Danio rerio: one gene and its partner. The protein of the gene in region 2 interacts with the protein of the main gene of each other region in a biochemical or structural test. Links are inferred from orthologs where the notes say so. Each region holds a gene or a part of one and is shown on either strand. Other genes may lie near its edges. The genes, in order: eme1 and slx4.

Evidence for each region.
Region 1: the proteins of slx4 (region 2) and eme1 form a complex in vitro, tested with the Homo sapiens proteins (3 studies listed by BioGRID, with this or other methods). The link is inferred for Danio rerio from reciprocal best matches to the Homo sapiens genes SLX4 and EME1.

What each region holds. Positions count from the first base shown.
Region 1 is NC_133187.1:23,440,997-23,444,936, forward strand, and holds the start of eme1 (crossover junction endonuclease EME1), read right to left. Parts: upstream 2,771-3,940; 5' UTR 2,619-2,770; intron 1-2,618. UniProt on the Homo sapiens protein: Non-catalytic subunit of the structure-specific, heterodimeric DNA endonuclease MUS81-EME1 which is involved in the maintenance of genome stability. In the complex, EME1 is required for DNA cleavage, participating in DNA recognition and bending.
Region 2 is NC_133197.1:27,513,342-27,517,250, reverse strand, and holds the start of slx4 (structure-specific endonuclease subunit SLX4), read right to left. Parts: upstream 3,027-3,909; 5' UTR 2,789-3,026; intron 2,753-2,788; exon of another isoform or gene 2,585-2,752; intron 2,153-2,584; 5' UTR 2,131-2,152; coding exon 1,752-2,130; intron 1-1,751. UniProt on the Homo sapiens protein: Regulatory subunit that interacts with and increases the activity of different structure-specific endonucleases.

The DNA of each region.
Region 1 (3,940 bases), on a different chromosome or scaffold from region 2:
GTTAGAGTAAAATGTTTATTATCTAGCAGCCTTAACAATACTTATTTTCTAATTTAGCTAAAATCTCTCCATTAGAATGTGTCCTGTTTTTAATTTACTTTTTAAGAATAAAAATATTAACCATAAGACACCCTCTAATTGGCATTCAGGGTACAATTTATACATATAGGGCTGTGGGATTAATTGAAATTGAATTGCAATTTGAAACATCACGATTAGTTAATCGCAAGAGGCTGCAATAAAAAAAAAAAAAACATATATATATATATATATATATATATATATATATATATATATATATGTATATATATATATATATATATATATATATATATATATATATATATATATATATATATATATATATATATATAGTTAATATAGTTAAGTTAATCTCCTTCACCCAGAGCAAATTCTGACATTTTATCCTACCCATCAGATTATGCTACCAACACTGTATTTTAATGGCTTTGAGGTTGGGGTTGGGGTTGGGGTTTAGGTAGGTTAGGGCGATATTACAACTTCATATTACACTAATCCACATTAAAATGTACACTGGTAGCAAAATCTGATGGGTAGCATAATGCGTCATGTGTCAAGGTCTGACAAATCGACAGAACACTGGCTGTGTGTGACAGCCTTACTAGCCAAATGAGTGAGCACACTTTCGTTCTGGCCAATCAGAATTGCACAACCGAACTCAGCCCACAATCAAAAATAAAAAAACAAACAACAGAAAAGCGCTGACAAGTGGGATTATGGCTTCTGCTGCTGTTGTAATATGGGAATATTTTGGTCTCAACGTCAAACACCAAACAAAAACAGGTCATTTTTAAGATATGTCGCAGAATTGTTGCCACGGTTTACAGATTATTAAACTGAAGCTTAACTACAAAATTAAATCGTAAATAAAATCACAATATCTGTCAAAAAAAAAGAAAAAATGAGAAAAAACGCACTGCCCTACTTACATAGCCTAAAAATCTTATCAGGCATGTTTAGACAAGAATCATTTGTTGACATGTTAAAAGACTCAAAGTTCGGTTGCAAAATACCAATTGATTGTAATTTTACATTTTTGTACTTTTACCATCCAAATTACTAGTTTAACTCATTTGTCAAAAAGAGCTTTTTTATTAAACAGATATGTTTATTAAAATAATATTTTATTCACATAACATCTTTAGAAATGGAAAGATAATACAATTAAATTCAAGCTAAATATTGCAAAAAAGATTTATGACAAAAACATTTCAGCAAAAATCTTGATTATTGATATTTTTGAAAAAATGTATTTAATATTTTCACTAACATATAAATTTGGGCTACAGATTTTTATTTTGTTTATTTTTATTATTTATTTTTGTTATTTTGTTAGTTAGGCTCCACATTTGGGTTCAGTACTGACTAAACTAATGTATATCCACAAATATAATATTGCAAATCCTAAAGAAAATATTTAAATGAGATATTTGTGTGTACTCATATATGCGGAGCACTGTAAATTCCCTTAATTTATCCTAATGTAGACAAATTGCAAGATGGAATGTGCCACACTATATGTATTGCATGATATGGTTTAATAATATATGTTTTTTAATGATAATAATAAATAAATAAATAAATAAATAAGTAAGTACATTTATAATTTGTTAAAATACTGCACTGCACTTTAAATGTTACAGCATTTTATTTATAGCAAAAATCTTATTCAGGTCAGTGCCAATAGCCTAGCGGTAAAGTGCACAGACATATAGACATATATATTATATATATATAATTATTTTTTAATCTTATTCAGGTAAACAAAAACAGTCTTAAATACTAATAAAAAATAATAATAGTATATTATAAATGTTTGAATACATTTTCAGCAACATTTTAAACATTCATAATATGTATAAATCATAATTGTTTTTTAATTTTTTTTTTTTTGCATAATTACTTCAAAACAGATTACCACACACACTATTGCTAGCCGATTAGAACTGTGAATCATTTACCACAAGTCTTAGTTTCAACATAACCTGACCAAGCTAGGCAACTTATAATTGACATTGAGGTAAATTTGTTTTTGTATTCGTACATTTGTTCATTTTGGGACAGTGAGTCAGTGACAACTTGCGACAGGCTACTGTACATATTGGCTCTGAAATACCATTAGCACTATTTAACTGACTGTGAATAATATACTTTAATAGCCACGGGCTGCTAATATGATTTCACTGTTTAGAGTTTGCAAAGAATACTTTTCTGAAGTTATATTATTAAAGAGAAAGTCTGAATGTGCAAATATCAAATCAACTTTAACTTATTATAATTGACTTATTGCAGATTCGGAATCATATTAGAGAGACTGATAACACCAGTTAAGCAGTCCACTCTGTGGAATGTTTTACTGGTTTATCAAGGAAATATGATTAATTCAACAAAATTTTAAAAAGATTATTTGGTCGACACAGGATATTAAACCAGGATAAGTAAAACAGTGCGGGCTTTGCAATATTCAGCCATAAACATGAAAAGAACCGTCAGATATGACTTCAGACAAATTTACATTGGCATACACGAACAGAAAGGCAGCATAGAACAAACGTTTCCAACTTGAGAACACAAACCATATGCATTGAAGAGGTACAACTGCTCTTACAACTCCAGATCTTCTCAAATCATCTATTCAAGCTGTAAAAATGTAACATTCGCGAACTTTGTTTGTGTCTCTCTCTACTCACCCCAGCCAAATTCTGCGGTTCGCGGGCCCTGAAGGATCACGGGAACGCGCCCGTTGCGTCACGTTTACGTCATCTAAGATGGCGGCGCTCATGTCCTTGCTGTTGAGATCCAAATCATGTAAGTAAAATGTCATGTTTTTTTATTTTATTTTAGGATTGTATCATGTACTGTGTACATGATTTGAATAATAACTGATGACGTAATAATAGCGGACTGCTTTTTCTTCTGGGATCAGAAATGACTGTGAGTTGACAGTGGCATGCTAAGACATCATTTGCAATTTGAGCATGTGTTGACTGCAACATCAACATTAAACAAAGTGTTAAACCTAACCGATTTGCCTCATTTTGTACATGGTCATTTAGATCTTTAAGACTTAGGTTAAATTGATGCTTAGTTCACGAGCATTTCTGTCAAACAGATATCAATGAAGAATGTCATCCAGCATGTTGCACATATTTAGATGCTATTTTTCATTGCAGGTATTCTGTTCAGTGAAACGCCCACTGTTGTACTGGCAAGGTTTGCTTCAAAAAAGTCAGGAGGGAGCAGCAAAAACCTTGGAGGAAAAAGTTCTGGTCGCAGATACGGCTACAAAAAACAAGATGGTATTTTCTTTTTGTCTGTTGACCTTGATAGGATATTAAAACCATAACATGATTTTGTGTACTATTTTACTACTGCTAGTCTTTGTATACATGTGTTTTTATAATTCATTTTCTTTTTCCTTTTTTTTAATATATTTTTTGCTTCTTTTAAGGGAACTTTGTACATGCAGGCAACATCCTCGCAACACAACGCAAGGGTTTAATGCGCTGGCATCCCGGAGCTCATGTAAGATGTTTTTAATACATTACAGTATTTTGCTGTTATTTTTGCATTTTACACATGTGTCAAAGATAAGACATCCTGTTTTTATTTCCACTTCAAAATAAATTGCCGAAAGAGATTGTTGACACAATAATAATTTCTGACTACTGCTTAGTGCAGTGTTTCCCAACCCTGTTTATGGAGACAAACCAACAGTACATATTTTGAATGTCTCTGACCCATTAACTTCAGGTTTTGGAGTCTCTTCTTATGTTCTAATAAGTTGATTCAAGTGTGTTTGATTAGGAAGAGTTGGAAACACTACCTTAGTGTATAAATATATAAGTGTATAAATGTACATTATACTCACTAACATGAATTAGTTTTGTGTTAGAAA
Region 2 (3,909 bases):
ACAATTATTAAGAAAATTATAAATGTGCTCATGAGTCAAGAATAGAGCATGTTTATCTGCAGTTATAAACTGATTACTGATATCAATTAATGTAGAGTTAATGCTTAACAAATAATGAATTTACTATATGCTAATGCTTAAGTGATTCATAGTGTGTAATTATTATTTTTTTTACTGACCCCACTGACAGATAATTTAACTTTTTCTGGAGTTGAAAACAAAACAATATTTTCACTTGATTAATAATTTTTTGATATTTGAAGTAGAAACGAGACAAAGCAATGTAAGAAAAGCATTTATCTGTATTGCGATTATTCAATTTCTGTACCTGAATAATACACTTAAGACAAACTAGCATCAAACTATCTTATGAGACTCTTCATATCACAATATTTATTGCAGAAAAGTAAAATAATGCAATTTTAGATTTTTTCCAATATCATGCAGCCCTAATAGCCATGTTTTGTAAAATCTGTCCAATTATGGAGTCTAAATATGAATTCATACCTGTGAAGAGTTTCACTAACACAAACTGTGTGATGACGTGAGGTTAAATTAAAAACTGAATGATTTATTTAACTGATTTTAATGTATGGCAGTATAACAATTTATTATTACTTAATTTAACAAATAATTTCAATAAAAACACTTATTATAAAGCCATTCTTTTGCAACAAAACATAAACAATTAATACTATTAAATTTCATACAAGTTAAGAAATAACTCACTGATTCAGCTGAAATTTTAACAGATGTCCTTTGCTTTAGGACTTTACGGATGTACTTTTTTTTTTTTTTACATAAATGTAGTATAACTGTTGTATGTCAGATGAATGTAAATAAGCTATGCTATATAAATCTATCTGATAGTCAGGCCTTAAATACCTATCAAGCAGTGCATCTAATTAATTTATTATATATATATATATATATATATATATATATATATATATATATATATATATATATATTTTTTTTTTTTTTTTTTTTTTAAAGACAAAATGTATAATGTATACCAGGGGTGGCCAACCCTGTTCCTGGAGAGCCACCTTCCTGCAGATTTCAGTTACAACCCATATCAAACACACCTGCCTGTAAGTATCACATGGTGTTCAGGTCCTAATTAATTGGTTCAGGTGTGTTTGATATGGGTTGCTTGCAACTGAAATCTGCAGCAAGGTGGTTCTCCAGGAACAGGGTTGGCCACACTTAATGTATATTTTGCTAGGGCTCATTGTTATTCTGTAAGAAAGCATTTAATCTGTGCAAGTTAATCCACTGAAACTACACGTTTGCAATCTTCAATCAAAATCTGAACAGCTATTAAAACATTAGACATGATCAAAACCTTTAACTTCATTACTTCTGATCTGCACTACCTTGTGTAATGTCGAAAAAGTTAATCTCTTTATTAAAGTTAAAGTGATAGTTCACCCAAAACTCTAAATTCTGTCATTATTCACTCACCTTTCCTTATTCCAAACCTGTTTGACTAACTTTCTTCTGTTGATAAGAAAAGAAGATATTTTGAAGAACGCTGAGAATCTGTAACCATTAACTTCCATAGTGTTAGTTTTTCCTAATATGCAAGTAAATGGTTACATGTTTCCAACATTCTTCAAAATATCTTCTTTTGTGTTTAACAGAAAAAGGAAACACATAAAGATTTAAAACCACTTGTAAACTTTGAGTAAACTTTCGTTTTTTTGGTGAACTCTCCCTTAAAGATTAAGACTGACTGGTCACCGTACCTGTGTGCTGGACCCCATCAGGAGCGTCACAGTTCCCATCTGTCTCAGCATGTAAAAGTCTCTCTGGACTGGCTCTCTTAAACTGCTGCATTCTCCGGATCACAGCATCTTTCACCTTCCCCGTGGCAGACACACCAGAGTCAGCCTGAGGAGCACCAGCAGACACCGCAGTCTGACTCCTGCCGTTCAGCTGAGTCTTTACCGCATCTTTAGTCCTCTTTCTTCTCTTAGGCGGGTTTCTTCCAGATGACGGAGAGGATGGTTCTTCATCCTTGGTTGCTGATCGTTTCTCATCTCCAGATTCTGCTGGTCCTTTCCTTCGTACCCTTTTGAGGAGCCGCGAGCAGAGGTCTTTGAAGTCCTGGTCCGAGTCGTCCATGATAAGCTACTACATGCATGATCTGTCAAATGTGTAAAAGGGATAGTTCACTTAAAAAATTAAACTTACTTTCAATTTCCTCAACCTCAAGTGGTTATAAACCTTTACGGCCACACTTTATTTTGATGGTCCATTTGTTGACTTTTAGTTACATTGCATCTACATGCCAACTAATTCTCATTAGATTATAAGCAGACTGTTAGGTTAGAGTTAGTGTAAGTTGACATGTACTTGCAAAGTTTCTTATAGTCAGTTAAATGTCTGTTGAAGGAGCAGTATCAACAGATATCAAGCAGACAGTCTACTAATACTCAAATGAAAAGTGAGTATTTATTTTGACCATCAAAATAAAGTGTTACACTTTACTAGTTTCTTCTGCTGAACAATATATATATTGAAGAATGTTTGACACCTGTAACCATTTACTAACACAGTAGGATAAAGAAATTACGTTACTGATGTTTAACAGAGGAAACTCATAGCTTTTAAATAACGACATCTTTTTTGTTTTCGGATAAACTATCCCATTACGTTAACTATTACGTGAATTATTTTACGAATGACATACATTAAGAGTATCTTCTAAAAACAGCATGTGCATCAAGACCAAGGAGAGTTGTAGGTAAAGAAATAACGTTACATATTTACAGTACATTACCTTTGTTTACATTTTACTGTCCACTATTCGAACGGAATTATGTCGGTTGACGTACATTTAACGCGATTTACTTGATAACAACTTAAATATAGACCATTATTAAGGCGAACGTCATGTTATGTATTTAACATGAATAATTGTATGTTAAAAAACAACGATTTTTACATTAAAATGTGCCGCAGCTACCGATAACGTTCAAACTGCAGTGCCGCAGTCGCCCGCCGCCGTCTACTTCCTGTGACGTATGTGTACGCGTTGACGTAAGGGCCGCGTCTGTTGCGAAACATCTCCGAGTCATGTGATATAACTTATAAAACGAAGTTGCTAAAAAGATGATACGCACTTAAAAACGTAGTGAATAACTAGAGTTTCCTTCTAATATATGATGTATTAATATATATAACATTTCTATTTTATTCTAAGTAACATATTACAATTCGAGCGCATTAGCAAACAATAATAAATGTATTAGTGGGCATAAACAATGTGTTTTACATCGTGTTTATAGTGTTAAAAATGGTTCATTGCGCTCATGTTAGTTTTATTTGAACATTACCACATGCCCGTAGTCGGGGGTGGTTCGAACGTAACATGAGGGCAAGTCAAAACAGTTATAATAATAACTTATTATTATTATTATTATCAATGTGTATTTTATGTTTGTTAGTAGCTTGTTTACGGTGGTAATTGCCCTCTAATATTCAAGTGTAAATTTGTCTTTTGATTTAGCTTAATCAGTGGTTCTCAAACTTTTTCATCAAGTAGGCCTACCACCTCAGAAAAAATTGTCTCTTCAAGTCCCACCAAAATGAGCAGTATTGAAATACAGGAGCGTGGTTGGCCCAGTTACAACTCTGCACAGTTAAAAAAACGTGGCAGATTACCTCAGAAATACAGGCCATATGTAATTTATGACATATTATATACATAATTTTTGATAAATTTTGAAATGTGTGTAGCATGTACATGGCATATTTCATTTCTCCATGTACCACTAGTGGTACACGGAACAGTTTGAGAACCTTTGGCTTAGATAATAGCTTCTTAACTAATATTGCAGGATTTTGTATTAGATGGCAAACAATTGGAAATGGTTTAACTTGTCACTAATTCTGTACATA